Linked DNA regions of Drosophila melanogaster. The protein of the gene in region 1 purifies or fractionates together with the protein of each later gene. This does not show direct contact. Each region holds a gene or a part of one and is shown on either strand. Other genes may lie near its edges.

Evidence for each region.
Region 2: the proteins of Brf (region 1) and Myc purify together in Drosophila melanogaster (affinity purification with western blotting; one study listed by BioGRID). This does not show direct contact.
Region 3: the proteins of Brf (region 1) and Trf purify together in Drosophila melanogaster (affinity purification with mass spectrometry; 3 studies listed by BioGRID, with this or other methods). This does not show direct contact.
Region 4: the proteins of Brf (region 1) and not purify together in Drosophila melanogaster (affinity purification with western blotting; one study listed by BioGRID). This does not show direct contact.

Annotation. Positions count from the first base shown.
Region 1 is NT_033777.3:17,386,161-17,394,221, reverse strand, and holds the start of Brf (Brf RNA polymerase III subunit), read left to right. Parts: upstream 1-2,884; 5' UTR 2,885-3,059; coding exon 3,060-3,132; intron 3,133-3,193; coding exon 3,194-3,562; intron 3,563-3,621; coding exon 3,622-3,726; intron 3,727-3,956; exon of another isoform or gene 3,957-5,067; coding exon of another isoform or gene 5,068-5,779; intron 5,780-5,837; coding exon of another isoform or gene 5,838-6,512; intron 6,513-6,579; coding exon of another isoform or gene 6,580-6,733; intron 6,734-6,798; coding exon of another isoform or gene 6,799-7,320; intron 7,321-7,968; coding exon of another isoform or gene 7,969-8,061. Other genes in the region: CREG (cellular repressor of E1A-stimulated genes), read left to right, coding at 1-406, 468-549, 622-731; sds22, read right to left, coding at 1,313-2,293; lute, read right to left, coding at 5,242-5,779, 5,838-6,512, 6,580-6,733, 6,799-7,320.
Region 2 is NC_004354.4:3,369,633-3,377,864, forward strand, and holds the start of Myc (Myc), read left to right. Parts: upstream 1-3,526; 5' UTR 3,527-4,091; intron 4,092-5,307; exon of another isoform or gene 5,308-5,311; 5' UTR 5,312-5,373; coding exon 5,374-6,601; intron 6,602-8,232. UniProt on the Drosophila melanogaster protein: Participates in the regulation of gene transcription. Binds DNA in a non-specific manner, yet also specifically recognizes the core sequence CAC[GA]TG. Seems to activate the transcription of growth-related genes; required for cellular proliferation and growth.
Region 3 is NT_033779.5:8,067,932-8,074,448, forward strand, and holds Trf (TBP-related factor), read left to right. Parts: upstream 1-4,963; 5' UTR 4,964-5,039; coding exon 5,040-5,194; intron 5,195-5,265; coding exon 5,266-5,785; 3' UTR 5,786-6,017; downstream 6,018-6,517. Other genes in the region: poe (purity of essence), read right to left, coding at 1-221, 283-2,449, 2,705-3,117, 3,241-3,335, 3,517-3,635; MED20 (mediator complex subunit 20), read right to left, coding at 4,072-4,830. UniProt on the Drosophila melanogaster protein: Acts as a transcription factor. Binds to the TATA box promoter element which lies close to the position of transcription initiation. May be essential for embryonic development.
Region 4 is NT_037436.4:18,614,984-18,623,952, reverse strand, and holds not (non-stop), read left to right. Parts: upstream 1-1,823; 5' UTR 1,824-1,840; coding exon 1,841-2,581; intron 2,582-3,120; coding exon 3,121-3,522; intron 3,523-3,583; coding exon 3,584-3,694; intron 3,695-3,761; coding exon 3,762-4,576; intron 4,577-4,745; coding exon 4,746-4,788; 3' UTR 4,789-5,147; downstream 5,148-8,969. Other genes in the region: bora (aurora borealis), read right to left, coding at 1-830, 889-1,166; CG13380 (uncharacterized protein), read left to right, coding at 6,796-6,805, 6,862-7,226, 7,508-7,642. UniProt on the Drosophila melanogaster protein: Histone deubiquitinating component of the transcription regulatory histone acetylation (HAT) complex SAGA. Catalyzes the deubiquitination of histone H2B, thereby acting as a coactivator in a large subset of genes.

The DNA.
Region 1 (8,061 bases):
GGCCCTCGTGAGCCTGGACCCCTCTTCCGGTTACTCCCGCCGGAAAGATGAGCGTATAATTAGAGAATATAAGCGAGAGCAAGAGTTAAATCACGCCAAGATCGCCAGAGATTTGGTCCATCGCGCCAATTGGGCGGCTGTGGGAAGTCTCTCCACCAACGAACGGGTGAAGGGGTATCCCATGGTCAACATTATCTCCATCGACGACAGCGATGCTAATAACAGGTCCACTGGACGTATTCGATTCCTGCTAACCGATTTGGACTTCACTGGTCCCGACTGGCAGAAGGACAACAAGGTCACACTCCTGTTCAGTGACGAGCAGACCCTAAGATGCAAGGAGGGCGGAAAGGATCCCATGGAGCCTACATGTGCCCGTTCCATGATCAGTGGACAGGTGAAGAAGGTATGAAAAATGAATTAAATCCTATTTAAAATGGATTAAGAATGTTTTGGCTCATTTGAAGATGGATCCTAGCGACAAAAGCTATCAGCCATCGCTGGATGCCTATGTGAGGCGTCATCCAGCTGCCATCAATTGGGTAAAAGGTTGGTGAAAGCGAACCTCATTAAGAGCTCGATATGTATGTACTAATAATAAATACGTTGTTTCTTTTACAGCTCACAATTTCTACCTTTGCGAACTGGAAATTAGCAATATCTTTGTTCTGGACTTCTATGGAGGTCCTCATAAAGTGAGCGCCTCTGACTATTACGCTGTTTCGAATTGATGAACTCCTCCAAAAGCAATCCAACTGACGCCTCATATACTTTGTCAAAAAATGAAATGATAAGCATATTTGCACAACATGTCTGCCACAAAGGGAAAGAATGAAGACAAAGGCCTTTATGAAAGCCACTTATCAGTTGAGCTCTGTGATTTCAATCGATAGAACAATAACTTTGATATAAATAAAAATACATTCCGTTGAATGTACTCTGACATACTGAAATGTATTGTTTTGGTTTAAGAGAAACCAGAATTGTTTAACTAAAATGTTTTCATCTTTTTAGATTCAATTTACATTATTTATGTGTATATATAAAATACTTTTTAGTTTTATATGTTAGGCGGTAGCCTAGATGGATAATTTATCTGACTCATTAGGTAAACTTCACGCTTTGAGTAACTTATCCAAATATACCTTCTTCTGAAAGCAAACTAAATCACTGCACCCACCAATTCGTAGATAGAACCATTAGTGGTTAATTTGTATGTATATTTTAAACGCAGTTTTTCAAAGTTAATCGATATAAATGTAGTGGCGCAACGCCGTGGATTAGTCTTTCAAGGGGTTTACAGTGGTTCCATCTAGGTACCGGGCACCTTGCACAGGGTGGCATCAATCTTCTGCAGCTGCGGCAGTATGTCGCGCAGTTTGGAGCGGTAGCGAACATCCTTGGCCAGCGGATTGTACTCCAGGTAGATGGTCTGCAGCGCCTTGTTCACCTTCAACAGCTCAATGTCCTTCCAGTCATCGACTCCGTTGTGGTTCAGCCACAGCTCCTCGAGCAGTTCCAGCTTTTCCAGATTGGCAATGCCCTTCAACCGGTTCTTGGCCAAGTCGAGGGTCTCCAATTTGGTGTTCTCCGAGAGGTTTTCAATGGTTTCCACTCCGTTTTCCGAAACGTAGAGTTCGCGGAGGTTGGCAAGCTTTTCAAGGTTCTCGATTTTTACAATGCGATTGGCCTGTAGACTGAGTATCTCCAAATTGACCAATGTGTCCAAGTTCTCGATCTTTGCTATCTTATTTTTGCCCAGGAAGAGCTGTCGTAGATTCACGAGCATTTCGATGTTTTCGATCTTCTTCAGTTTGTTATCCCCCAGCTCTAGCATGGTCAGATTGGTGAGCATGTCCAGGTTCTCGATTTGGGTTATCCGGTTCGACACAAAGTAGACCTTCTCCAGCTTGACCAGCTTGTCAAGGTTCTCTATCTTCGTCAGACGATTGAAGCTAATGTCCAGCACCTCCAGGTGGGGCAAGTCGTCCAAATTCTCAATCTTGGTGATCTGGTTGTCATACAGCTCCAGCTCAATCAGTGTTTTCAGGCTGGACAAGTTCTCGATTTTCTTGATCAGATTCCAGCGCAGAAACAGGCGCTCGATTCGAGTCAGCGGCTCGAAGTTCTCCAGCTTCTCGATCCGGCGATGATTCAGATCAAGCTCGTAGCAGTCCGGATCGATTGTGATTATATCCTCAATGGAAGCCACATCCTCGGCGGGAATCACCTGGATTCCGGACACAGTTTTCGCGGCTTCTGGTTCGTTCATCGCACGATCAGCATCGCCCATGACTGATATATTTTGACCGGCTTTTCTTTTTTTTTAATTCAAGTTGACTTTCGAAAATTGAACGCTGACTTGACTTGTTGTTTATTCCGCTGCTCAGGGTGGAACAAAGTGGGGTGACTTTCTTTAAATATGACGTCAAAGCTTGACACTGTTACAAAAGCAAGAACACACGGTAAATATAAATATGTAAATTTAAAATAAATATGTATTAAAATATTTACTTAATATTTATAAGTTAAGTCCAAGATGACTGTATACTCCTTTTGGTCCAACTTGTTCAATATGTCAACAAAATACTTAGTCACCTTACCGGCACTTTAACACTATTTCTACTAGAGATGTGCACCTAAGAACACGATGCTAAACCTGTATTATTATATATTCCAATGTAAATGAAAAACAAATATTGATTGATAATTTGCCAAATAAACTAGAACATAATTTTTGGAACCAGCTTTACGTAATTTTTACAATTTTAATATCTCTTTTAAGTTTTTCAAGCAGTTGTGCCAATGTCGTTCTTGATTGAGAAATGCGCATCTCTAGCATTTCTTCTTCTATCATCAGTGTTAAGCAACGCCGGCGGGGTTCAATCAGATGTTTTCCAAGCGTGTTGATTCAATTGGCAACAAATTGCAAATTGTTTAAAAAAGACTCGAAAATGGCTTTCAAATGACAGCAAACAAGTAGTTTAAACTGTCAAAACAACGGATAAAAACGAAGCGTTGCAGGTGGCAGTGTTTATTAAAGCAAAGAACAAACAATCATGTCTACGGGCCTAAAATGTCGCAATTGCGGATCCAACGAGATCGAGGAAGACAATGCTCGCGGAGATCGAGGTATAATGACATCCAAGGACCCATATCCATGACACTAACGACGTTCACCCATTCACTGTAGTTTGCATGAACTGCGGCTCGGTATTGGAGGATTCCCTCATTGTTTCCGAAGTGCAGTTCGAGGAAGTTGGCCATGGAGCAGCCGCAATTGGCCAGTTTGTGTCCGCCGAGTCGTCGGGCGGTGCCACCAACTATGGCTACGGCAAGTTTCAGGTGGGATCGGGCACCGAATCCCGCGAGGTGACCATCAAAAAGGCCAAGAAGGACATCACACTACTCTGCCAGCAGCTGCAGCTATCCCAGCACTATGCAGATACTGCTCTGAATTTCTTCAAGATGGCATTGGGTAGGCATCTGACCCGCGGTAGGAAGAGCACCCACATCTACGCCGCTTGCGTGTACATGACCTGCAGGACAGAGGGCACCTCCCGTGAGTAGTGCATTCATTTTGCCTAAAGAGTAGCTTATTGACTGCTCATATCTTCACAGATCTCCTCATCGACATCAGCGACGTACAGCAAATCTGTTCCTATGAGCTTGGTCGTACCTACTTAAAGTTATCGCATGCCCTTTGTATCAACATACCTTCTCTGGGTGAGTGAACGTTGTGAATACTAAACTATACACCTAAATCCCAATCCACAGTCAAGTCAAGCCATAGCTCCACTCTTAATTTTTGTTTTTTTAAAAATATTTTGTTGGGTTTGTTAGATTTGCTTGCTTTCCTTTTATCAGGTATTTAACAATACTCTACTCGTTCCTGTTTTCTTTATGCACTACTTACGTGATGTCAAAATATCCAAAATCTTCAACTCTGAGAAAGTAAATTCGCAAAAATCTAATAATGTATTTTGTTTGATTAAAGTACATAATGGTAATAGATTCATAATCAATACAGGATAACATTTTATATAGATATATGTATATAAAAACCATAATTGTCTTATCAAAAGCAAAAAATCAGTACAATTTCCAAAGAAATCCGAAATACAAACGTAAAACTGATTGTTGCGCTCAGCAGGCTATAATAATGCACAGGAGAAGTACGGGGCTTAGTATCAGTAGAAAGGCATATTGTGTATGTATGAGAGATATAATGGAACAACTACGAAATAGATATAATGCGTACTACAAGATTAATATTTGAATATATATGTAGGGGGGATTTTGTGCGCATCTCGTACAAGATCCCTTGATTTCATTTTTGTTTGCTATTTCGTTAACTGGTTAACTTGGGTTTCAAATTCGTCGTATGCAACTATTAACATGGCCTATTCTCCCTCGAAGTGTTTAGGACTATAGTTTATCATTATCAGATCAGATGTGTGTATATGTTAGGTATATGCTGGCAAAAATATGTTTGGTATATATCGTATTAGCTTTTGTCCACTCTCCCTTTAACTGTCTTTAGAATATTGGTTAACGCTAGCTTGACTGATTGCCCGATTTTCACTTATTGCATGTATCTATGCGTCTCTATTAGCGTCCATATGACCCCATCCCGCCCTCTTAAGTCGTGGAACGTATTAAGTTTTCGAGTCAACTACTAATCTTTATCTATAAAGTTAAGAGTGTATATGATCAACTTTTTCGATTTTGAAAATATCTTTATATGCATTACCAACAGACTATGTGCAGTGCGTTTTAGAACTGCAAAACCATTGATTTCACTTGCTTAACATACTTGGGATATCGAAGGAAACTTTCCAATTATAGCAAATTTCCTATATCGATTGACTTGCATCGGCTGACTTTTTTTTTTGAGATGATCACGTACTGACAATCGTCTTGGAGTTTTAAAACGCACTGCCGAGGTGTATATATATGTGTCTATGCTTTGACGTGTATATATATGTTTATATATAGGACTATTATGAAAACTAGAGTACTCTACTATCTTGGTATATATATATATATATATATATATATATGAGCCTAAAACTCCAATTTACTTTCTTGTGCTGCACTGAAAACCCATGAGTTTCGATTTTGTATCTGTATCTTTTGCGGTTGCTGTGTTTTGTATTGTTGTGTTGGTCTCCTCTGTTGCTGCTGCTGTTGGCGGTAGTAACAGGCTCCCTGCCACTCGGCGCAATAGAGCTGTGCGCATCAGGTGCTTCCGTCGCCATCCTCCCCAGAACTGTTGGCGTTATTGCCAGATCCATTGCTGCTATTCGGAACAGCTGTTCCGGCTGCTGCGGTTGAAGTCGCTCCTGCATTGGAGGAACTGCCACCAATTGGCGTGGGACACAGTGAATTGGTGGGCGAGCTCATTGCTGTCACTGTGGTGGGTCCGTAGAAGATTAACTCTGGGATTTGGCCGCCCTGAACTCCGGTGCCGTTGGTGCTCTCCGACGAGCACTGGAACTGGAATGTCACATTGCCCATTAGCACCTCGGACATGCCCTCCTGGCCAAAGAAGCTAAGCTCGTTTCCATCGAGAATTACGGAGGCGGTATAATAACACTCGGGCTCGATCTGGATGGGATTCTCGAAGAAGACGTGGAACGTGTTGCTTGATCCGTCCGAGAAGAACTTGGTGTCGTTCTCTGCAAGCGTGCGGCCCAGGCGTTTAAGTTCGATCTTTACGTTGTAGTTGGCAGCACCAGTCGACGAGCCGTACAGTCCAAAACCCACAATGAAAATTCTGAAATTTTCAGTTTTAATTACCTTAATCCAATAACCATTTGTTAGATAGAACTTACCTTCGATCAACAGAAAACTGAATTGAATCACAGCGCCCGCGGTAGCGCCACTGGTTCGAGCGATAGGCGCACGACTGGAAGCGATGGCAGACCTGGGTCTTTAATCCCGCCCTGGAGCGTGTGGGAAAGCCCAGGGAGGGCTTCATCTTGGCAGTGAAGTGCAGGAACATGTCGATCGTCTCCTGCGACGAAAGAATGCCTGTCTGGGCCACGCCGTTAGCGAACTCCTCCAGCGACATTGTGGGAATGCGGATGAGGTGCAGCGCTTGTCCCAGCAGCCGGCGCTTGTTCTGCGGCGTGTCATCGATGCTCATCTTCTCGCAGGCGTTCATTGCCCAGTTAAGGGCCGCCTCGAACAAGTGTATCTCCTTGCAGTTGAGTGTCTCTCGCGAAAGAATTGACTCAAAGGTCTTGAGATCAATATCCACAAAGTCCTCGGACTTAACCGCCATCTCGGCCTGGGCGTCGATCACTTCCCAGCAACGTTGCATCAGCTCGGGCTCCTCGAACAGACGCGATTGACTGAGAAGTAGGCAGGCGTTTTTTGCCGTCAACTTCACCTCCAGATAGTTGACGCATGCTCTGGCTAAGTGCGGGACAATGTACTTCTTGGCTGCATAGAGCGTGGCCAGAATGTGTTCAGGTTCCAGTTTGATTTCATCACAATAAAGGTACCTAAGCGGAATCATAGAGAGTAAATATATACAATTCCGATTGGTTGGTTGGGATGTGGATATCTTACCTTAGCAACGTTAGGAAGGCAGTGGGTTCCACGTCAGGCACTTTGATTTCCTGCTTGTTCTCCGCCAGTCCTCCATAGAACATAGCATAGAATACGGAACTGCCCGTGGCGAGAATATATTTGTGGGCGGGAATGGTCTGAATGGGATCGATGTCTGTGAAAAATGCAGGTCATGAGCAATGCTGTTTGATTGGTTAAAGAAAGTAAAAGAACGCTTACCGAACTCTCCGCCCACAATGAACTTGACATCGGACATGAGTTCGTTGTTGAACATGGCTGCATTCCTCTCGAGGACCGTCGCCTTGCTGGCCTGCCAGTTGGGATCAGCCGTATCGATGGCGTTGGATGCTGCCACAGCTGCGAAATGCCAATTGGTTCCGGCAGAGCACACATACGATCCACTCCCACTGGTGGGCGTAGCGGAAATGGCAGCCACCGCTGCCGCTGCGGAACTGGAGGGCAGACAAAAGGCGGTGGGACTGCCGGAGATTCCTCCGGCACTTCCTGCACCACCACCACTGCTGCTGCCACTGCTGTTGAGGGCGCCCGGTGAAGCCAACGGCGAGGATGGAGCACTGATAGGCTGCGTTATCTGGATATTGTGATCCGCTGCGGCAGAGGGACCTCCTCCGCCTCCAGCTGGCGATGCTCCTCCTCCGCCTCGCTGTTGTTGCTGCTGCTGCTGCTGGTGATTGTGGGGCGGCGAGTGGAGCAGCCCGTTGCCATTGTTCAGGGTTTCCACTGCAAATGAGTTTTGGGAAAATGGTTAAATATTTGGGCTAAACGGGTTACGTATCGCTGTTCTAATGATCCCACCCAGTTCGCTCAGAATCAGCAGCACGCGTGGCCACATTTGTGCAACTTCCGCTGCGTGTGCATCATAAATAACAAATGCCAGGGTCTCCCCTTTTTCCACAATTATTGCACCCCAGGTACAGTGGGGCCTTGCTGTGTAGGCACAGTGTGTACCTGTCAAACTGTATTTAATATTTTAATCATGACTTAAGCATATTCTAGCCCTGATAATAAACCTTGATCTTTGAGCATATAAAAGTCTAGGCTGATGTAAGCTTTACACACGGGTTTTAATTATTTGTGTTCAAATTCAAAACTGAAGTTCTTATTCCTGAAGTTTCACTGTCTTCTAAAAGTGGAGCGTCTCAAAATAGCAACGTATTGGGACACTGTTGTTTTTGTTTGTGTTGCCAGACTGCGCCCCTCCCGTCCAGCCCCACCACCACCCGCTCCCCTGGCGACACTGCTTAAGTTGTGTGAAAAATCAATAACTCACAGACGCAGTGCACCTGCCGTGCCCCCCCCCCCCCATTCACGACCAACCCTAGAACAGTCGGCTCCTTCGTTGATTTTCCTCCGGGTTTTCCGCCTTACCGTTTATCCAGCCGCCGTTCGGCTGGGAATGCGACATGCTCTCCTGGTTTCGCTTTCCGGCGGACTTCAGGGACAGGCGGTTCAGCGGATTGT
Region 2 (8,232 bases), on another chromosome or scaffold:
GTTATAAAATCGCCACGCTGCACTTTTGTTTTGCCATTTACGCTCTTGGCGAATTTGTTGTGTGAGCATGTGAGTGTGTGTGTGTGTGTGTGTGAGCGCAACTGTACCGGCGTCTTCTTTCTTCGTCCTTTTTCTTTCGTGACGAAGCTTTTTGTTGTTTTTGCAGCTGCCGTTTTCGCCCTTTCTATTCACCTTCCAACATCTTATGTCTGTCTTCACACTTACATTCTAGGCGTATATTTGGAAGTGCACATGCAAAACGGCAAAAAAAATCGAGAGCGAAGATAAAGACGAAGAAGACAACGAAATAATTTGTAAGAAAAAAATGTGTAAATTAAAGCGGAAGAGTCGACGAATGGCATGTCGACCATATTTGTACAGAATAATTTTCATTTAAGTTGAGAGCAAATGGACTACAAAACCTGACACATATTAACTAAATGATACATACTTTATGAACCTATGTACTTATTTAACATTTAACATTAGCATTTAAAAATGGAATAAATACTTACACATACATATTCTATACTTCGACTGTGCTAGCTATTTGTGCTAAAATACTCGAGTTCTTGACCTCCTCAAATAAATTATAATTGAAGGTTTGCTTATGCGTTATCTTCTAATACGATTGGCGTCTAAATAGATGGATGGCGCCAAAAAGGGAATGACAAATAACATACAATTGTACGTACATATATACACATATACATATACACGCATGTACGGTACACCTTGCAAACGTTGAGTTTCTATGAATATTTGAATGAATATTTTTAGTATTTATGTAATGACATGAATCCATCCATACAATCAAAATACCTGTAAAACTTTCCTTATTGCGTATTATAATAAAAGTACCTACAATTCGAAATAACACTTAAAGAGAGGGTGTGATTTTTCGTCGCCTTAGATTTGAACGTATTTTTACGTTTTTGTAGTAAAATACCAATACATGGGTAACGTGAAAAAAAATAAGAAGTCGAAGATAGCGACATTGTTGCAAAAGAAAGACTAGTGCGCAATGCAATTTACGATTATTCGCCTTATCAATGGAAGGCGATCGTTTCTGGCCTACGGTGAGCATAACTGCAACTGCAAGGCCCCGGCATTATCGCAAAACAATTACGCCGGGTACACCTGTCGACGCTGGCGTCAAAGTTACATTGTTGCTGCACGTGTAGACCGTTAAATGCCGAGTCAAATGCGCCTGCGAATGGGATGAACCTCATTCTAGTACTAGTACTATCAATACACTCAATAAGGTTGTGCATACAACGTAACCTGCTAATGCTAATATGTATGTATGTACATATGTATATTTATGTACTTACATTTCACTTTCCTGAGTTGCTCCATTCTTTCTATATTTTCGATGTTTCCCATAACTGCCGGTTTATTCGATTTACTGCCAATGCATTGCATTTTTACGGCCAATTTTTTGAAAGCTTGCAAATTCTTGACAAACTAGATATGGAAACTCGGCAGCCACTTGCTGCCGTTATTTACGCAGTTGTTTTATCTCGCCATGCACACTTTCCATTTACCCGCGAAACAAAAAAAAAGTGCAGAAAATAGTTTAATACTATTACAAAAACAAGCAGCACACGCAAACATAAATTGCGCAAACATCGAAACACAAGAAATATTACTTATTGAAATCGAGAACTTGGACGGACAAAAGCTCGCAAATTGCGGGACCATTTCTTTTTGTCTGTGACGCAGTTGTACCCTGTAAAAGTGGAGCATATCGCTTTTTGCCAACGAATGGCTGTTTGTATGCTTATGGATACTAAAGCGGAATGTTGGAAGGTGAATTTTATTGGGCTGTTTGTGATTTCCATTGACAGAAGAATTAAACAATTTTTTTTTTTTTTTAATATGTCGCTTGTACAAACAATTAATTAAATGTGCAAATTGCAGAGTAGTTGGGCGAGTGTGCAGCGTGCATTTTTTTTTTGCTGGTTCGCCTCGTTGCGAAATCAAAACAAAGCGTGTGAAAGAGAGGGCAGATGCACGCGCCAAAAGCGCTATGTTGTGCACTAAAAGTTGTGGAAATGAAAATCAAAGCGAAACGTAACAAAATCGACGGGGTGTAGAAAGCGGGAGGAACTTTGCGTCGGAACCACCTGATGATTTAATACTCTCTAAAAGGGGCAAAATTCAAAATGCAGGTCCTTTCAAGTCGATTTTTAAAGGTTGATATATGTGTACATATGTACATATTTGTGCGATAAACATATGTACACATGCACAAATCATTATTTGTATGTAGTACACATACTATGTACATTGTATTTTACAAACAGTTATTAAGAAGTTTGTTGGAATGTGCATACATACATATGTATGTATGTATGTAGAGACGTATGCTTGTGCATGTTATATTCTATTTTTCATTCAAGGTCCCCTTGCTTCCTATCCGCCTTTACCTTATTACCCTTTTCTACTTCTTCCACAACTTCTTCTTTCCAAAGTTGTAATATTTTTGGCTGGTTTCTATTCTTTTCCCTTTCTTTTTACATTTCCTTGGCATCGTTTAATTCGTTAACAAAATGTTTGGCTCTTCTTTTGTTTCTACCATGCGGCCTAACTTTTCTATTATTGTTAAATGAATTCTGCATTGTTTACAAAGTTCACAAGTTCAATCAACTTGACAAAACGGAAAATGAAGTTGCGTGGCAGACAAAGAGGTGACAAAGGCACACACGCACATAAAAAAAAGTACGGTAAATGCATGCATAGATAAAGGAAAGGGCAAGAAGGAAATACGAAAGAAATGTAAGGCGCCAAAGCAAGAGGGAATGAACAACTTCTCGCAACTTCTACGCAAAAAGGAATAGAGCTTAAAATAAATCGATTTAAAAATAGGAAACATTTATGCGGCAATGAAGAATCCCAAATAATGCCACAGAAAAGCAATTGAAACCTGTAGTTTTATGTCGATTAACATTAACATAAATAAATGCGTATATTTATAAATTTAATTTCTATATTTTAATATACATACCGTAAGTAAATTAAGGAAATGAATAAAATTTTGTTTTGATTTCCAGTCAACTACACATTTTCGTATTGCATTTATTTCACAAAAACATTTTGAGCCAGTTCAAGTTAATTGTTTATGTTTTTATTTACGGAGCAATTTGCGATTTGTCTCAATTTTGTTTGCGCTCAATTATTGTAAACACCACTCAAAAATCTCACTCTCTTTCACTCAAAAAAAAAATACCGGCAAACTGATGCTGTTATGTGAACCAGTGTGCGGGAGAGGCAAAGAAACATTGATCATTTTAAATGCATTGCGTACTATTTGAAAACCTTCGAGTATTAACAAATCGTGATGAATCCAAATGTGATCTAAATGTGATCCAAATGTCAAAGAAGATTTTTGTTGAAGCTCCTATTCTCACCACTTAAAGCGAATTCCAGCAAAGAGAGCAGCAGTGAGCATGCGCAGTGAGAGCGCAGAGAGCGCGGCAGTCTGGTACGATAGAAATTTTATTTAAGCCACAGACAACATGAAACGGGCACTATTTCTGTGGCGTCGCGTGTTCAGTTCACCGCGGGTAATTCAGAGAATCGCTTTGTGGATTGGATTTTTGCCTGTTTTCCGCCCGATACAAAAAAAAAAAACCAAACGCTATATAAATAGTTCTGTAGTAAAACCTGAAGCAACACGTTTTAAAATATACAACTACTACTAACAACTGTCACAGCCAAGTTACAAAAGTGCTAAATCCCAGAAATAACCTAAGAGCCGACTTAAAACCGCGCAAATACATAAAAAAAAATCTTCTCCAAAGCAGAAACAAAAACTTGTGAAAAACTAGAATTAAAAAAAGATTTTTTAAAAAAAATCAGCTAGTGCAAAATAAACGGGAAGAATTTTTTTTTGTGTCCCTTTTTTTGGTGTTTTTTCTCCGTCTTTCCCCTTCTTTGACGCAAAAAAAAAAGTGCCCAACTTGCTGGCGGCACGGGAACGGGATAGAAATAGATATAGCCGAAAGCGACTGGAAAGCAAAGGAAGCTAACTAAATTGGATTACAATCAATTAAATAGAGACGGATACGGAAACTATGTTCAGCGAGGTGAGTGCAAAGATATATATATATAATATATATTATTTATCGGAACGCAACGACTTCAAAAATCGCGCCACTACGGGGAATTCAAAATAGAATTTCTGGGAAAGGTGAAATAGCTTAACTTTTAACGGTGCTCTCACACACAATGACAAATCAGTGATCATGGCCGCACAAATCGATACGAAATAACGGATTCTAGGAACTCAGAAGGAATGTTAAGAATCAAGTGCTTACAAGAAATTAAGAACAAAAAGTGAGACAATAGAAAAGTGGAAGTGGACGAATTTTGCAAAACAAAATTCTACAAAGTTCTTTATTGTTTTGTGAAATTCTTCTTAATGCTGGCAAGTATTAAAAACGCTTTGATGGCGTTGAAACGAGTTGGTAATGTTCGAAAATTCCAGAACTCTGGGGCTCCAAAGTAATTAAATAAAATGGTCCCAAAATTTTTACGAAAGTATTAAACTTTTTAAAGGAGAAATAAATCAATTAATTAAAAAAAGAAATAAATTAGCTTGATAAATTAAAAAAGAAATAAATTAGCTTGATAAATTAAAAAAGAAATAAATTAGCTTAATAAATTTAAAAAGATTTAAATAATAATTTAATAAATGTTGATATTCCAATTTTACTATGATTCTGAAATTCAATATATACCGGGTTGCGTTCGATTCTGCGAAAGACATGTACTGTTAGTTTTTGCTCGTACTTGTTTACCGGAATGCAACGGATTCTACGAAAAGGGAAAAGCACAGTAAGCTTTGCAGGTCTGCGTTTATCGGTAAAAGGACCGTTTATTTTTCAGTAACTGGAATTGGGTATTTGATATTTGGTTTTCCTTTTATGCCCTTGTTTATTTCATTAGTATATGTATTTTTTTTTTTTTTTTGCTATTGTCAAGAGCGCCAAGATTGACGATTTCGGGTTCAAATGGTTAATAGTGTATAAATGAAGCTATAAGCTAAATTTGCTTTTGATAACATTTGCTGAACCCTCGACATCGCCTGACGTCATTATAGGTGAAATCTGGCACAGTAGAACGTGACTTAATACAATAATAATATTAGGAGTTTAGTTACTCTTACATTATAGTTGAAATGTTGCAAAAATCCTTATGTTGAAGAAGTTTTCAAAAAGTGTGTTGCCGACATATTTATTTAATTAAGTTCAAATATAGAATCATACCTACAACGATTTCCGCCTTATCTATATTTTTCAGACAGGCATATAACTCAGGAACTTAAGATATATAGAAAGAAAAAAAAACCCAGACAACATAATCGCAATGGCCCTTTACCGCTCTGATCCGTATTCCATAATGGACGACCAACTTTTTTCAAATATTTCAATATTCGATATGGATAATGATCTGTACGATATGGACAAACTCCTTTCGTCGTCCACCATTCAGAGTGATCTCGAGAAGATCGAGGACATGGAAAGTGTATTTCAAGACTATGACTTAGAGGAGGATATGAAGCCAGAGATCCGCAACATCGACTGCATGTGGCCGGCGATGTCCAGCTGTTTGACCAGCGGTAACGGTAATGGAATAGAGAGCGGAAACAGTGCAGCCTCGTCGTACAGCGAAACCGGTGCCGTATCCCTGGCGATGGTTTCCGGCTCTACGAATCTCTACAGCGCGTATCAACGATCGCAGACGACAGATAACACCCAGTCAAATCAACAGCATGTCGTCAACAGTGCCGAGAACATGCCGGTGATCATCAAGAAGGAGCTCGCAGATCTGGACTACACGGTCTGTCAGAAGCGCCTCCGTTTGAGCGGCGGTGACAAGAAGTCACAGATCCAGGACGAGGTCCATTTAATACCGCCCGGCGGAAGTTTGCTCCGCAAGCGGAACAACCAGGACATTATCCGCAAATCGGGCGAATTGAGCGGCAGCGATAGCATAAAATACCAGAGACCAGACACACCTCACAGTCTTACCGACGAGGTGGCCGCCTCAGAGTTTAGACATAACGTCGACTTGCGTGCCTGCGTGATGGGCAGCAATAATATCTCGCTGACCGGCAATGATAGCGATGTCAACTACATTAAGCAAATCAGCAGGGAGCTTCAGAATACCGGCAAGGATCCGTTGCCGGTGCGTTACATCCCGCCGATCAACGATGTCCTCGATGTGCTCAACCAGCATTCCAATTCGACGGGTGGCCAACAGCAGTTGAACCAACAGCAACTGGACGAGCAACAACAGGCCATCGATATAGCCACTGGACGCAACACAGTGGATTCTCCGCCGACGACCGGCTCTGATAGTGACTCCGATGACGGTGAACCCCTCAACTTTGACCTGCGCCATCATCGCACTAGCAAAAGCGGCAGCAATGCCAGCATCACCACCAACAACAACAACAGCAACAACAAAAACAACAAATTGAAGAACAACAGCAACGGCATGCTGCACATGATGCACATCACCGATCACAGCTACACGCGCTGCAACGATATGGTGGACGATGGTCCCAATTTGGAGACCCCCTCAGATTCCGGTGAGTCAAATTTATATACTTTTCATATGCCCCATTTTCATCAATATTGGAAGCTTAAAGTCCGAATGTCTTACAAGAAATACAAAATGGTCTGGTCGTTGGATGCATGGCAAAACAGTAGAGATTAGTTAGATCCCTGGGGATGCATTAAAATTTAGTTTACGCCTGAGTCAGTCTAAAACGCCTACCAAAAGTGGCATACTAATTACAACGTCGTGGGGCGGCCGATTAGTTTACAACCGGCCACATGACCCCCCGCCCGCCCGCACATTCATCCATCCTTTGGGTGTTGCACATTCAACTAGTGTTCGCACTTCCGTTTCGTGTGGGTGCAGAGTAACGCCCAAACGCACAAGTACGCTGTATACCATAGGCAACCGGAAAATCGATTGGCGGAAAACGCCTACGTCAACAGCAAACGTAGTAAACTTGTTACGTTGCACAAAAAAAAAAAAACAATAAAAAAGAGAAGAAAAAACCCGCCCACGCGACGCCGGCGTCTGTCTGCGGTGGTTTTCCATTTCCCCCATTGATTTTTGTGCTTTTCGCTGCGATGTGCTTGTATGCTCAATGCTCTGAGCTCTTGCTCTGGACTTTCCTTTATGATTTTTCCCACTTGCCACCCACAATGGGGAAAATGTTGGCGCGGCGCGTGGCTTTCATGGCTCATTGTGTTTATTTGCTCCATGGCGTCATCCTCTCTCTTCCGAAAAACTTATCACCCGGGGGATGATGATGATGTTCTTGCGCAGAACTACGCCCAGAATAAAAAGAACCCATATATATATATATACTACATATATAATATATATATTTACATATATATATGTACTACAATTTCTCTCTTTTGGGCCAACACCCCAATTTACTTGGCTTTTCCTTTCCGGGCTGTTGTTGTGCGAATTTCAAGGATGTCTGGTCACTGGCCACGTGGCAGACAGCCCCAAAATTTTCCTACCTCCTTGGCGGCATTTTCTCTAACAACTCGTGTATGCGCCGAAAATACGGGATATTTGCCCGTGACTAGAAACAAGAATAAATCTTGCCCATCAAAAAAAGATTTATTATGCCATTAATAATGCAGAAAAAAAAGTAAAATATTGTACTTCTCAATAATTTAAGAGGGAAACTACATTAAAAAAAAGTCCAGCTAGAATACGTGTTTTTCATATCTATATTTTTATAGTACTCCTACCTACTTGTTTTATTTGTGCCGGCGAGTTCAATGTCTGGCTCTCTTTCTCTCTTTTTGGCGCGCAAATCGTTATCCATTGAGCAACCCTCGCAAGCTTACGTCACGTCAATCATCTTGATTTTTACTACGTCTTACGCTACAACTACAACTGCGCATGCAACTACGTGTGCATTTTCTACTACAATGACTACTACAACTACAACTACTACTACTACTACGCTATGGAGCCGGTGTGGGCGTAAGCTTTTTGCCGCCGCTCATTAAAAAAAATATATGGTAAATAATAGCGGGAAATCAAGAAGGGGCTAGAGGTGGGGCAATGCAAGGGATAAATTAAACTTGGATTATAAAATATTTACCAATAAAGCAAAAAGCAAGAGCAACAGCAAGAGCAAGAGCAAAAGCATTTAACTCGTGTTTCTGCTCCCGCTTTTTC
Region 3 (6,517 bases), on another chromosome or scaffold:
AAGATTATGCATGCTCGCTTCCTTGTCCTTTTCCTTGGAATACATTGACATGTCGGTGATGGATAGTATGTCAGTCAATGCATCCACCAGTAGCGGATATTTAAGCTTATCCGGTGTGCAGAGAATAAAGTTCCAAGCCAAACCATCCAGCTTAAATTCCTGAGCCCAGTAGGATATCTCGGGATCACCCATTACCAGAGAGTAAAAAGTTGGGCGAATTGCTAAAAAAAAAATCAAGATGGTTGAGTATCGCTGGAATTGGAGATTAAATTCTCCACTTACATGAGCCATATTCGCCGGCCGACTTGCGGAAATTCTCTTCAATATCATGGCGGCAATAGGAATTCAGTTTGGTTCGGCAGTTTAGCAGATCCGTGATCTTTTGGGTGTCCGGCATGCTGCTCACACTAAAAAGATTCCAGCGCACCTGGTCTAGCAATTCCGGAGGCGCATTGTACAAGTGCTTCATAAGATACTCCAAAAAGAGCAGCAAGCGAGACAGCAGCATAATTTGGCTGTTTTTTACGGGTCTATCCTCGCTGATTCCACGACAAACTTCTGCGCAACGGATAACACCGCCAGCCGTTAAAAGCAGAATGGATTTCTTTTGCATCAGATTGAGCGAATGAAATAGGAAAAGCAGCAGTTGGGCGTGCTCAATGTTAAGGTCTTCATAGTCAGAATCACTGGCGGTATTCGAAGAACAAACTCCTTCCACCAACGTGTTAATAAGGCGGTGCCACACGGACAGGCAGGCGGCTTCCTTCTCTTGTGTTGGCTTCAGCAAAAGAATTTGCACCAGTACAGACAGAGTACTCGGATAAACTTGTAAAGGCCAGGTGTTTGTATCAGTAGACCATGGCGATATAGACAAGTGCTGCAGCAGATTTGACTGCAATTGCTCGGACAGCAATGAAGTGGAAATCAAATTGTGAATATATCGGCCTGCAGCTCCCGAAAATCGAATCATCGACGTCTGCCACTTGGTAGAAGCTCCTGCAGAGGTTCCTGCTCCTGCACTGGCAGCTGGGGCATTTCCCGACCCCTGATCGCTCTCATTTCGCATCACGTCGCGGTCAAAATCTTTGATTATATTTGCCATTAACAGCATTTGCTGATCACTAACGCCTGCCTTTACATAGCGCTGCATGTAGGCATGTCGATTGGCCAAAAATTGATCCAGGAAACAGAATATGTCTGCGGCCAAGTCTAAATACTCATGTGGCTCATCTAGCTTGGGGACAAGGGCGCTCTTCTGTTCAGCACGCTCTTGTGTGGATGTGTTTGCATTATCATCATGGGTTTCTGGAGAAAGAGTTTCCTTAAACCAGTGGCCCAGGTAACTCTCACTATCGTCCTCCTCGGAGTTGTCCGAACAGGAGAGAGAATCGTTGAAATAAGTCGTAGAATCTGAGTAGCTTATGGGTTCGCATTCCGTACGATCCTTGGCGGAAGCGCGCTTTAAGGTGCATGCCTTGCGATAAGCCACAGTGGCTAGAAAAGTGAAAAGTTGATGCAGAGTGGCTGTATTCAGCACGCGGACAATCCGCTCCAGCGAACTGTAGTTCTGCAAAATATCGAACTGTGCAGGCTCCGGGAGCTCTGTGGATTCGAGACTCTGTCCGCATGCGGCTTCAACCTTTAGATCTTCTATTAGCTCTGAGAGCAATTTAATGCTGTGGTTAGCAATAGCTGCATTGAGTTCTCCAAATCCTTGCTGTACCTTGAAAAGGTTGACTCTGGCAATAGGTGTAGTAGGTGCGGTTCCAGCCTCACTACCAGACTTGGTCGCTTTTGACGCCGACTTCGATGCCGAATCCGAGCTAGATCCACCGCTTCCAGAGGCGCCCATTGCTCCTTGTATACCGCTAATTAGCAGCCAGCTGCCATAGCAGAGATGGTTCTGATATACATGAATCCTGGCCGAAGTTTTGAACATGTGACCAATATTGGAGTAGATCTCTAAAGCTTTGTTCACTATGCTACAGGCCTGATCCTCAAAGTCGTCATGGTCTTTGTTGGATTGCCCACCACTAGAACCTCCTACTCCGCTTCCTTGACTAGTGGATGCAGTCTGTTTCTGAGAGCTGCTGGCCTGGCTCATACCGAGAACACTGGTGGCTATTGAGGTCAACACAGCATTGTATAGCGCAGCAATACCACACATTGATAGTCGTTCAATTCTACTGGGAGTCAGTGGCTGCATCTCGATCAGGGCTTGGGCCTGACTCAAAATAGTCAGATCAGTAAGCATGTGATTCATGCTCGATTTCACTGCAGTGGCCTCCACTTGGGTCAGTGGCAAATAAAGCGATTTACCGCCGTTGATGGTCTCCATATATTTGGATCGGTATCGATTGAGTATGGGCAGGCTCACACACACATCCAGCAGGGTATCCACTCCGTTTTGCTCCTGGAAGTACTCCACATTGGCCGCCAGGATTTGTTCCTGAAAGAAGTAAGCTTTTAATATTGCGTATCTCGTTTTTAAGAAAATATAAATTTGCTCATAGCTAATAGTTATACACAACTTCTAAATTGATCGAGTAGGATAAATATTTTCATTAGATAGAATATTGCATTTTAGTTTAGTTGTGTAATATATCCGTACCTACTCAATTCAAGAGTAATTTATAATAATAACAGACAAATATGACCGATCTTAGGGAAGCTATTAAAACAGGAGTTTAAGTTATTTGCTCACAGTGCAGTCGGTGACCTCCTCGCTGAGTGGAACCCAAGTCATCTTGCCGGGCTCTAAAGGAGCAATCAGTTGCTGCAGAATAACCGAGGACAGGTCCGACCGGGATCGCTTAATCTCCGACTTGGGCGACTCCTTGTCGTTGCTGGCCCCACTTCCGGAGGAACTGCTGCTGGGCATAATGCTCTTGGTGGTCGACTCGGGATGTTTGCAGCTTTTAAGAACATTAGCCACCGCATTGTAGTCGAACATGGATGACGACGCTGATGCTGGGCACTCCCGGCCCTCGCAGAGCATCTTGAGGGCGCCCAGGAGCCACTTGGTCTCGTAGACGGACACCCTGGGCAGTCTATAGATAATAAACCGGATAAGCACGGCGGTGGCATCGTGCAACTGACAAATCTGCGTCTGGCAAACTGAAAAGCACCAAGATGATAAATGTAGCGAACGCGAATTGGCGCAAGTGAATCACTCGATTCTTGGCCAAACATTTCTTTGTTTTGTTTTCATTTGGCGAAAAATCATTAGGGTGCACTTACTTGTCTTGATTTGCATAAGTTTGTCCGCCGCCAGGGCCGCAAAGGCCGTGTAAAACTGCGTGAAATTGCTTTCCTCCTCGAAAAAGTCATGTTCGCTATGCAAATATCGGAATAGAGCGTTGTTAGTTCTCGATATTAAAGAATTTTCAAAGCTTTTTGCTATTTCGTCACCGGAGCGGCCATATTTAATTTTGCAAGTCACTTTTTGCACTAGCAGAAAATTTTTCACTACGCCATTCGGTAGGCGAAAAGTTCTAGATGATCGTTTGTACTTACCATCGCGTGATAGCTTTGAGCAAATTAACAACTTCGTTCTTGTTTAAGGCTCCTGTACGGTTAAGTATCAGGGCTTTAACAACGGAATTCCAATCCGTTCCGCCGCTGTGGGCCGACATTATTGTTTAAATAATCTCGTCAATTTGCCCGATAGTACTGAGTACTCGGCCTACTGTGTGGCCAGATTTCATTAACGGTAAAATGCCGTGCGAGCAGGGATACCACACAGCTTTAATCATTATTCCAATCAGCTGTTTTAAAAATACATAAAAAAGTAGTGAATAACCAATATATGAAAAAAACTGTACACTGCACAAAATATATATATATATATATATATAACTATAATATTTTAAACGTATTTGGACAAGCTAATAAATGTTTTGTTTATTCGTCTAAAATATGTAAAGCAAACTAGTGATGCTAGCTTTAAAATAATGATTATTTAATTATTAAATATTAGTGACATATGTATATTTTTTTTGTTTAAATTATCTTCTAAACATCTTAATCGGCTGCAGGCTCATCCGGTGGCTCCAGCTTGACGTCGGCGGATCAGGATCGATGTAGTCCCGCCACCGCCGGCGACATATGCACGTTCGGACCAACCTGTTGGCTACCCGGTCCACTGCCCATACCGCCCATAAGAGTCACATGCTTCCTATAGTTGGTGAACTGCTCCAGGTATTGTTTCACGGTGTCCATTGGCTCAAAGATGTCGTTGTGCTTGGCATGCAGCTGCTGTTGCCCCATTGCCGTCATTATTGTCTGTGGAGCGAAATAGGAGGGAAAGTCCTTATTCACAGCAATGCCGAGGAATCCCTGCAGCATTTCGCGTATCATTTCCCAGCAGTAGGCCAGAATCACGCATGACTTGTACTCGATTTCGATGAGGATGCCCTTGAAGTGCTCCATCATGGTGACGGAACCGAGTTTGATAACAAAGTCACCATACTCGAAACGAGCGCCACGGGACTCGATTTTGGTCTGCTTTTTGGAGGTGAAGGTGTTGGTCATCTTGAGCATGAGCAGATCGAAGATATTGTCGGCGACAATGGCCACTTGTTTGCCGGTGCCATTGTCGATGATCGAGAACGTGGAGGCGGGATACTCGGAGTTGTGCAGGACGTGGACTGCGCGTCCAGGTGCTCCATTGTGCGGCTGTGGCGTCGAGATGAACGTTTCGCAGTCCACCAGAAATTGACCGGCATGTGTGGCGCCCAGGGCGAGCAGACGCTTGCTCAGCTGATCGATTATGTGGGCACCCGATTTGCCTTCGGGTAAGGGATACGGTTGAAGGATAGTTACTCCCATAGTTTATGCAATAATGTCAGCTTTTTAGTTTTATTAATTTTGTTTACAAGTCTTGCAAGCTAAAAGCGTCCAGTGTGACCAGTGCTGACTTTTTAGTCATGAGAAAAGTTAGACAAATAAAAATACCAAACCGGCATACAATTTTCGTCAGCAATAAAATAGGACAACACTGGCCACGTCGCGTGCGGATTTGTTTATAATTTTCGGCAATGCAGTTTCACTTTAAAGTCGCGGACGCTGAAAGGGACAGGGATAATGTGGCTGCGACCAGCAATGCTGCCGCCAATCCGCACGCAGCCCTGCAGCCGCAACAGCCCGTTGCCCTGGTGGAGCCCAAGGATGCACAACATGAGATACGATTGCAGTTGGTTGACCACTTTTCAGAGGCACTTCATGAAATAAATAGAAACCCATTGATACATCCATAACTTGCAGGAATATCGTGGCCACCTTCTCGGTGAACTGTGAACTGGACCTCAAGGCAATCAACTCGCGTACGAGGAACTCGGAGTACTCGCCCAAGCGCTTTCGTGGCGTCATCATGCGAATGCACTCGCCCAGGTGCACAGCGCTAATCTTTCGAACGGGCAAGGTCATCTGCACGGGTGCACGAAACGAGATTGAGGCGGACATTGGATCGCGAAAGTTCGCACGCATCCTGCAGAAGCTGGGATTCCCCGTAAAGTTCATGGAATACAAGCTGCAGAATATTGTGGCCACCGTTGATCTGCGCTTCCCCATCCGCCTGGAGAACCTCAACCACGTGCACGGGCAGTTTAGTTCCTACGAACCGGAGATGTTTCCAGGCCTAATCTATCGCATGGTCAAGCCGCGCATCGTTCTCCTGATCTTCGTCAACGGAAAGGTTGTATTTACGGGCGCCAAGTCGCGCAAGGACATTATGGACTGCCTGGAGGCGATATCACCTATTTTACTAAGTTTTCGCAAGACGTAGTTGTTTCTACACATCCAAATGTTTTTGTTTAGCTTAGTTATATTCCATAACTACAATATTTTTAATATATTTACCTTAACTTTTTTAGTATAAAATGTGAAATGAAACAACTTAATTAATAATTTCCATGGGTAAATTCATAGAAATTGTAAGATTTTATTTTGGCCTTACTAAGCAAATTAATTTTTATTTAAAAAAAACTGTTGTTATTTTAAATAAATTTTTATATATTAATGTCTTGTAATCCATTTCATTCTATTCTTTGAATTAATAATAAATTTGTAAGTAATTTGAATTTTTATACATTTTTGTACCCATTCCTGGAATTTGGGAAAAATATTCAAATCCACAAATTCTGAAGTGTACCAACACATTCCATGAAAAGAAAACACATTTGGATAAACATTACTTTTATTTATTTTCAGGTTTCGTTTATTACAAAAGAAAACACAAGACACTTCATAGAGATTCGATTCGATTCTTATGGTACGGAAAGGAGCGACATTCTTAAGTTGTGTACAAAAATTTCCTTGTTTCTCGCTTAGTAGCTTCATGTACATGGCTATGTGAGATTTGTGTTGGGAATTTATAAACTAATTGTGGTTCATATGAAGGCGTATATACGTATAAAACTTACAAACTATGCAGATTCATTATTTGCATAAATTAATTGGACGGTTTCTTCAACGATTTTCACTTCATTTCGTTTAAAAATGTATTCAAGAGTTAGAT
Region 4 (8,969 bases), on another chromosome or scaffold:
AACTCCTGTCTGGCGTGAACTTCAATGCCGTGCGCTCTGACAACGTGTCGTGCTGCTCCGTAACGCTGATCTCTACCTTGGAGTGCACCAATCTCCGACTGAGATGCTCCGACGGGGCAATGGGCGACGGCAGCTCCAGCTCGTGCATTAGAAGTTTCCTCTTTCCCGAGCAAGTACCATTATCGGGCGTGCCAGGCGGCAGTCCGCATAGGTTTCTAATGGGTGAAAGGCAGCCGAAGCTACTTTCCCCGGATGCGGAATCCGACAGTCTGCCAGCGAACATTGTTTGCTTGCCCTGCGGACTGGAGCCCACCATGGACCTCGATGGCTCTGCCGTGTCCTGTTCGCCCAAAACAATGACATTGTGCAGATCGAAGAGTTTCCGGCGCATGGAACTATTAAAGATGTCGGGACCACCACTTGACTTGCTCCTGCCAGACAAGCGGCCAGCCAAATGTGGCTGGAAGTACGGACGCAGGGCATCCTCTAGGGCTTTTGGCAATATCGGCGGCAAAGTAAGTTCCGTTTGCACCTCGCAATCCCGCATCCTTCGCGACTTATTCGATATGGGAGTGTTGTCCTCGCTGCAATTGAGTATTATGCGCTGTTTTCGCAATGGGCAATCCACCGGACTGGGCACAATGAGTGACTCCTTGAAAAAGGCACTGATGGCCAACTGGGCCTTGGATTCCTGCTCGGGATCGGGGGAATCGTGGAACTGGGTTTCATGGGGCTCCACGTCGGCGGGTTTTAGTTGGGAGACCTCGTCAATGTTCCACTCGAACTGGGTGGACGAGAGTTGGGGTGTCCGCGAGCGGAAAAGTGAGGGGCTGCCAGGAAAAGAGAGGGTCGCGTTAAGAGGATTTTTCGAGCAGACGAAAAACTCACCTGGCGATCAGTGGCAGGTGTAAACGATCGGCCATCGCTCCTTCGAAGGGATTCCGCACCTTGTGCAGCCTTTTCGGGGGCGGGGTGCACACATTTCCCGACATCTGGGGGCTGTATTTTCCATTTTCTTTGCCGCCATTCGTTGGCGTTGCCGACGCCGCCGACGAGTTGCTGCTGTTCGAGTGGCTGTTACGGCGCGCCCGGCACTTCAATCCGTTCACATTTGTAATGTATCGATTCTTGAGGGCTTGCGGCGTTCGCACCTCGTCGTTGTACATCTTTTTCAGTCACTAAGTCGCCTAATTTCGACTTAAAATAAAACAAGCGCGCCTGCTGCGACTCGCAGGCAGATGTCGGTATTTTCAAATGCAGCAGTGTTGTATAGCGATGCAGCGGAGTTATCGAATCGTTGGCAATTCGAAAAGCAGAATGCGAAAGTGAGGGATGTTCAAGGAAAAAAAGGTGCTAACGACTGATTTGTCACTTAATATTTATTTATTCGCATATCTAAAAGTGCCTGCAAATTATTTCGACTCCCGTCTAACTTTTAGTATTTTTATTTTGCGCGCCACCCGCTGCTTGCTGTCGATAACACATCAGCTGGGCGACTTTAACCGTTTTATAATAAAATGGGACCAGTCTAAAAATAAAGAATGGTTACTGGTATACAAAATTGTATCCCATTATAAACTTGAGGAATAAGTAGCTCGTAATTATCCGAATATGGATGCATTTCAATATTTGGGCTGCTAGAACCTTTTATTGTTCCTATAACCCGAATAGAGATTCCATTTCAATATAACTTTATCTTGAATGGTTTAGTTTACTTTCTATTTAAACTAATATTCCGTTTTAAATGTTTCAATACTCTTATATTAGAAAAATACCAATGCCAACATCTGAGTACGATTTCGCAACTGGTCACACTGACAGCTGTCTTCTACCAACACATATGCGCGCGTGTGTATGTGTTTGCGTGCAGTGCGAAATAGAAACAAGAAAAGCAAGCGAAAAATCACAGAAATTCACAAAAAAAAAGCCCAACTACTTCCAAAATTGGGCCGCCCGGCGAAGAACCGCAAAAGTGGCCAAAATTCGGCGAAAACAGCGCAAGTGTGACAAAGCATTCGTGCCGCTGCAGTCGTCGGCGAAACGGGCGAAAACAAAAGAGAATAGTGTTGATAGTAATACGAGCGTATTTAGCAGTAGCAGCAGCAGCAGCAGTGGCCGAAGCTTCGGCAGGGGAACGGAACGGTGGGCGGTGGGTGCAGAAGCGGGCCGGGGAACGGCCGAGAACGAAACACTAGCAGTAGCAGCAGCAGCAGCGACAACAACAAATGCCGGTCGCTTTATCACCGCCGATCTAATCAAAACAGTTAACAGCGACAAGCAGCGAGACAGAGTAGCAAAGGGCCACAGGGACGCGAAAAACCCCCTAGATGCCACCAAACATTTGCGCCTATCGGACTGCTTGCGTACCGTGCAAAAACTTGCTATTGAACTTGAGAGCGCCGACGCCGGCAGCGACGCCAGCGCCCAAGCCAACGCTAGCGCCGACGCCAGCAGCGCCGTCATGTCCGAGACGGGTTGTCGGCACTATCAAAGCTATGTGAAGGAGCACAGCTACGATACATTCCGGGTCATCGACGCCTACTTCGCTGCTTGCGTCAACAGAGATGCGCGCGAGCGAAAGGTGAGTTCAGTAGCGTGGAAGAGAGTGGGAGCTAGAATGAGTGCGCTACTGGCGTGGTGAGGTGAGAATGTGCGAGTGTGCGAAGGGGAGAACGCAATTACAATCAGAGGTGCGCCGTGAGTCACGTGAAAGGTCACTGACACCCCGGCTGTGGGATGACAGTGGCAGACAACGCACCGTTCTCACCACAAAGCAGTGCGGACTTTTTTGAATGGGTAAAGCATGCAACAGCTGTTTTAACAGCTGACAAATTGGCACTGTGAAAAATACTTTTGCATCGAAAAAGTTTTGTTTTCATTACGGTGAAATTACATATCAAGAAAAATATATTCAAAATATTTAATATTGTTACATGGCTTTTGTATTTTTAGCTTCATATTGATTATATATTATATTGCTTACGAGATTTAGAGTTTTCAAATTTTTGTTACACTTTTATGCATTTAGTATGGGACGTATTTTTTGTAAAGTTAATGGGATTAGAAAAAAAACGAATATAATTTTTTATCAGCTGCCATTTTAAAATCTACCTCCGCCAGGCTATTCACTGCAACTGCTTCGAGTGCGGCAGCTACGGCATCCAGTTGTACGCTTGCCTGCACTGCATCTACTTCGGATGTCGGGGGGCCCACATCACGAGTCACCTGCGATCCAAGAAGCACAATGTGGCCCTGGAGCTGTCCCACGGAACGCTCTACTGCTACGCCTGCAGAGATTTCATCTACGACGCGCGGAGTCGCGAGTATGCGCTGATCAACCGCAAGCTGGAGGCGAAGGATCTGCAGAAGAGCATCGGCTGGGTGCCGTGGGTTCCCACAACCAAGGAGACCAATCTGCTGCTGGCCAATGCGAGGCGTCGGCTGGTGAGGCCCAATCAAACGATCGGACTGAGGGGTCTGCTTAATCTGGGCGCCACTTGCTTCATGAACTGCATCGTCCAGGTGGGCAAATCCAATTAAACTGGCGAGTCTCCTCTCACTGACTTACTCCTGTCTCCTCTAGGCTCTGGTTCACACGCCCCTGCTCAGCGATTACTTTATGTCAGATCGTCACGACTGCGGCAGCAAGTCATCGCACAAATGTCTCGTTTGTGAAGTGTCACGTCTCTTCCAGGTGAGTTCAATATGCTGTGGTGTTTATGAGGAGTCTTTTCTATTCGATATGCTATCCCCCTTTGTAGGAGTTCTATTCCGGCTCCCGTTCGCCGCTGTCGCTGCACCGGCTACTGCATTTAATCTGGAACCATGCGAAGCACTTGGCCGGCTACGAGCAGCAGGATGCGCACGAGTTCTTCATCGCCACTCTGGACGTGCTGCATCGGCACTGCGTGAAGGCAAAGGCGGAGCACGAAAGCAAGAGCAACAGCTCTGGCTCGGGAAGTGGAACCAATTCCAGCAACTCGAGCAGCTCGCATTGCTACGGCCAGTGTAATTGCATCATTGACCAGATCTTCACGGGCATGCTGCAGAGCGATGTGGTGTGCCAGGCCTGCAACGGAGTGTCCACCACGTACGATCCGTTTTGGGACATTTCGCTGGACCTGGGCGAAACAACAACGCATGGTGGTGTTACTCCAAAAACGCTGATAGACTGCCTGGAGCGGTACACTCGGGCCGAGCATCTCGGATCGGCGGCCAAAATCAAGTGCTCTACCTGCAAATCCTACCAGGAGTCCACCAAACAGTTCAGCCTGCGCACTCTGCCCAGCGTGGTGTCGTTCCATTTGAAACGCTTCGAGCACTCAGCTCTGATCGATCGCAAGATCTCCTCGTTCATTCAATTCCCCGTGGAGTTCGACATGACGCCCTTTATGTCGGAGAAGAAGAACGCCTACGGCGACTTCCGGTTCTCTCTGTACGCCGTGGTCAATCATGTGGGCACCATCGACACCGGCCACTATACGGCGTATGTGCGGCACCAGAAGGACACGTGGGTCAAGTGCGATGATCATGTGATAACGATGGCATCGCTCAAGCAGGTGCTGGACAGCGAGGGGTAAGAATGACCAATATATTACAACTTTATCACCGCAAAAGCAGCATTCAATGTTAACTTACTTAAGTTGATTTCACGTCTTATCTTAAATTCATATACAACGTTATTTAGCTTTTTATTCGGATTATCAAATCATTATTAACTAACTACTTATTTTCACTTCTTTCAGTTATTTATTGTTCTACCATAAAAATGTGCTGGAATACGAGTAAGAAAATCCGCTGAGATCGATTAAAGCAGCGACTGCATCCCTCAAAAAACAAAAGCAGAAAACAGAAGTCAATGCATTACGAATTACGAATAAACACAAAATACAGACAAGGACGCGGCAGCGCTTACATATTAAGTAATATTAACACAAACACGAAAGCAATCCTACAATTTGAGGAGTGTTCATTTGATTCGATTGGGGTTATTCAAGCTCACAAACTCAAAACATTGGAACGAACAATGGAGAACAAAAAAAAAGGAAATTAATGAAAATGTAATCAATCTGAACACTCGATTTGTGGAGATACCCGTTTTGCTCTAAGTATTTCAAATCCATAATACTAAAAACAAAATCAAAAACAACAAGCAGATGACTTATACATTTATATTTAAAAATCAAACAAGGGATATTCTACAAACGCCGTATTACAAATGGAAAGCGAATTTTTATCATTTTTCTTGAAATGCCTTTTATTGAAAAAAAAAATGTTAAAAACTCATTTTCAGACACATCCGTTATAACTGAACCAAAATCCAAATCATGCTTATGAATGTCATGGATTTTTTTTATTTCGTCTTCATTTAAATAAGGAGAGCAATAATTGTAAATTTAAATACTTACATTTTTGGGGGCTTAGGAAACTGGGATTAAGATACATTGCAATTATTTAAAAAACAAAAAAAAATTACAACCGACGTCAACTTGGGCTCGTCCGGGAATTGAACCCGGGACCTCTCGCACCCGAAGCGAGAATCATACCTCTAGACCAACGAGCCTGCGGTACTGGGAGCGATCAGAATGACGCTTTTTAATGTGCGAGCCCTCTCACTCCATCGCTCTGCCTTGTGCTATGAGCAGGCTAAAAAGAGACAACTATAGTGTGCGCTTGGTTCGAACGCTTGCTTACTTATTCGATGCACAAACCACATTGAATGTTATCTGGGAATATAATATGCTATTTATGAGCATACATTTTTTAATTCCGTGTAATGAGAACCTACTCTTGTTGGATAAAATCCAATTGTCTAATTAAACTTTTCACAGTCACAGCTATACATAATTGTTCCTCAATTTTCGTGAGGAATTTTATTTATTTTAAGGTATAAAATCCTTTTTCTGAGACTACCATCTTCTGAGCTTGAATTATTATTAATTTATTAAAGGAAATGTATATTTTATCGGGTCAATTACCTTATCGATAAGATCGGGAGCTTTGCAATACTGTCGCAGTTGGAAAAAGTCTAGGTGTCGTCAGAACGCGGATTAAAATGTAGTTTCAAAAGTCGTACAATTATCCCAACTTCAAGTAAAATGGCTGCATATGCGAGCGCAAGAGGCAAAATTATTATCAACGCTGCCCAAAACATCCAGAACTAAGCAGCCAAAATGTTAAAACAAACGGTTAATATGCATGCTCATATGATTTTGCCGCAGATGAATTTTTTAATGTACGCTCGACAATGCGCTTTTCGCAACGCTCATGCAAATTACTTGTGAGTCTCCGGGATTTAAAAAAGAATCAATCCTAGACGAAAACTGTAATGTTACATAGTTTGTACGTAAGGAAATACATAAACATTATGGAAATGTGCCAATTTTTCAATTGTAATGAACCAAATTGCGTTTGTTTACTTTTTGTATTTCGATGGTATAGGTCAAGTTTCACAACAATGTATTTCGACTTAAGGCGCTTTTGGACTTAAATAATCATTGATAGCAAAACAAGAAAGAAATGAAAATATGTAGAAAATCCATACATCACCTATTCCTTAAGTACAGTGATAAAGCGTAGCACTGTAGCGAAATGATTTAAAAAAGACGAAAAAATAAATACATATACCGATACTTTGTTTTGATACTGCTCGCAATTCACAACACTGCCAAGCGGCGTTACCTCAAGTTGGCGTCGACAAACATTTAAAGTTTTGTTATCGGGAATATCAAGTTCACAAATATTTGTATATTCATTTGAGAATTTTTTGTGCGTGACGATATCCGTTTAAAAACAATGCCATTCGGTAACTATGAGCTTTATATAGCCACATCTGATCCACTAAAGCAGCGTGTATTTCAGCCAACGAGGGAAATGATCCAATAGCCGCTCGCCTCTCCAAATGCTATTGGAATCTTTCGTCTCCATTCTTGAAGGATGTCATTCCAAAAAAGCGTCCGTCCAAAGCATTCAATCGCAAGCCGCCGACCAAACTGGAATCCGAGGAGGAGGAGTACCACAAATTCGAGCGTGGTCTCCACATTTCTGACTTAGGCCCCAAGTTAAAGGAGACGGATGGACAGCCAAAGCTTAAGTTCGAGCTGGCAGACGACTACAAGAGCTCCAAACACTGCATCTGCATGCGCTCAAACACCGCATACGAGTGCGAACGATGCCATCAGTACTTCTATGGTCGCCTCGCCCAGATTTGTGATCTGCATCCAAATGTATGTGGTCCTCTTAAGGGACAACACCTAAGGATATCCCCTTTGAGGGATTTTATGTAATATGCCACCAAGATAGATATAGCTAGTAACACCAATTGGTGGTTGCCCCATAGGACCGAGTTATACAAAAGATTAGCGAAGGGAACTGTATTTAATAGTACATATTTATAATACGCGTATATATAGATATGCGCTGTTATTTCTTCGATCAGGCATCTCCCTACCCATATCAAATTCTTTATTGTATTGTAAAATCTTATCTTTTTTCTCTTCCTTGCTAGGAGTTTTTCCTTATGGACTTTCGCAATTGTCCATTCTGTAAGGCACCCATTGAGATGATTAAGAAGTCACCTATCAGCTGGGAGACAATACGTAAGATTGAAGAAGCCGAATTGCCCAGTGATGGGGATCTATGATTATGAGTTTGAGACTCAGCTGCATGTTACCTTAAATACATTGTTAAATGTAAAAACAAGTGTATATATATATTTAATATATACTTTTCGGACTTCGGTTAAAAGGGGCTGAGTTTGATTGTCCCTTGGCCCACATGTCAGTATTCATTTTGCAGCTCAACATTTATGTATGATGTGTTAGACAGGAACTGCGGCACGGACATGACCACGATAAACCCTTATAGCCCAGTCTGCAGATTGGCACTGCGGCAGTGACTCGACGCAAAGTGCATGGCATGGATATGCATGAGCTTACAGCTGTTTCCAAAATGGTAGTTGCTTAAAGTTTGCTTTTATAAAAAAAAACTCTTGAATTGGTGCAATATGCAAAAATCATATTTTAAATCCTGTTTACTTTTATGAAATGGATATTTAAATGGCTTATAAGTAAATCTTTTTAAAATATCAATTATTATTTGTATCGTAGAAAGGTCCCTATTTTACTTCCCAGTACTTCAGTTCGCAAGAATTTCCACGTACTAATGGGGTAACTAGACTGCGCTTCTCTCTCAACATGCTGATACATATCAGGTTAGTATATAATAATATGTGAACTTGCATTAAGATATCTGCCATCTTTGCAGTGCAGCGCGAAGTCTCAGCTTGGCACCATTGAAATCAGCGGACAAATTCATGTCACCAGATAACAATTCAATCACTTAAGAGTTCAGCACATTTTGAAATCGCTTTACAATGCCCCATGCCAAGTCTCCATGGGCACATTGTGGTGTCCTCCTTAGTTCTTCGTCCTGCGCTGCTCTGGCTAACTCCTGGTGGTCTGGTAAGTGGCGACGCTTTAGATTGCATTTGCCACGACTTATTTTCAGTTCTTTTCCTCCGTCGTTCTGGCTCCATGCACTGCAGTTTTCCCAACGACTTGGCAAGCCATTCTATGGATTCACTTGTTCTTGGACTTCCACTTGGGGGTTTTCTGCATCCGCATTCTGGTGCTTCTGGCCATGTTAAATCAGCTTGGCTGTGGATCGCAAGAAGCTCTGGCTTAGTCATTGCTGCTTTCGTCCTCGCTTCCTCAGCATTTTGAATGGCACAATGTTCGCAGTTGGTCGCTTTTCATGGGAAGTTTTAATGATATGGATAAGTAATCATTGTAAAGATTAAAGTTTTTATAATTTCCCGAGATGTTGGTCCGTTTATGCAATTCATTTAAAGTTTGCTTAAAGTGTAATTGAACTCATGTGATACGAAGGATGCATCTCTCTTTATATGATAGCTGTATTTGAATGATGTGAAGGATAAACGTCCTTGTCCTTTTTACGGACTGTGTCAA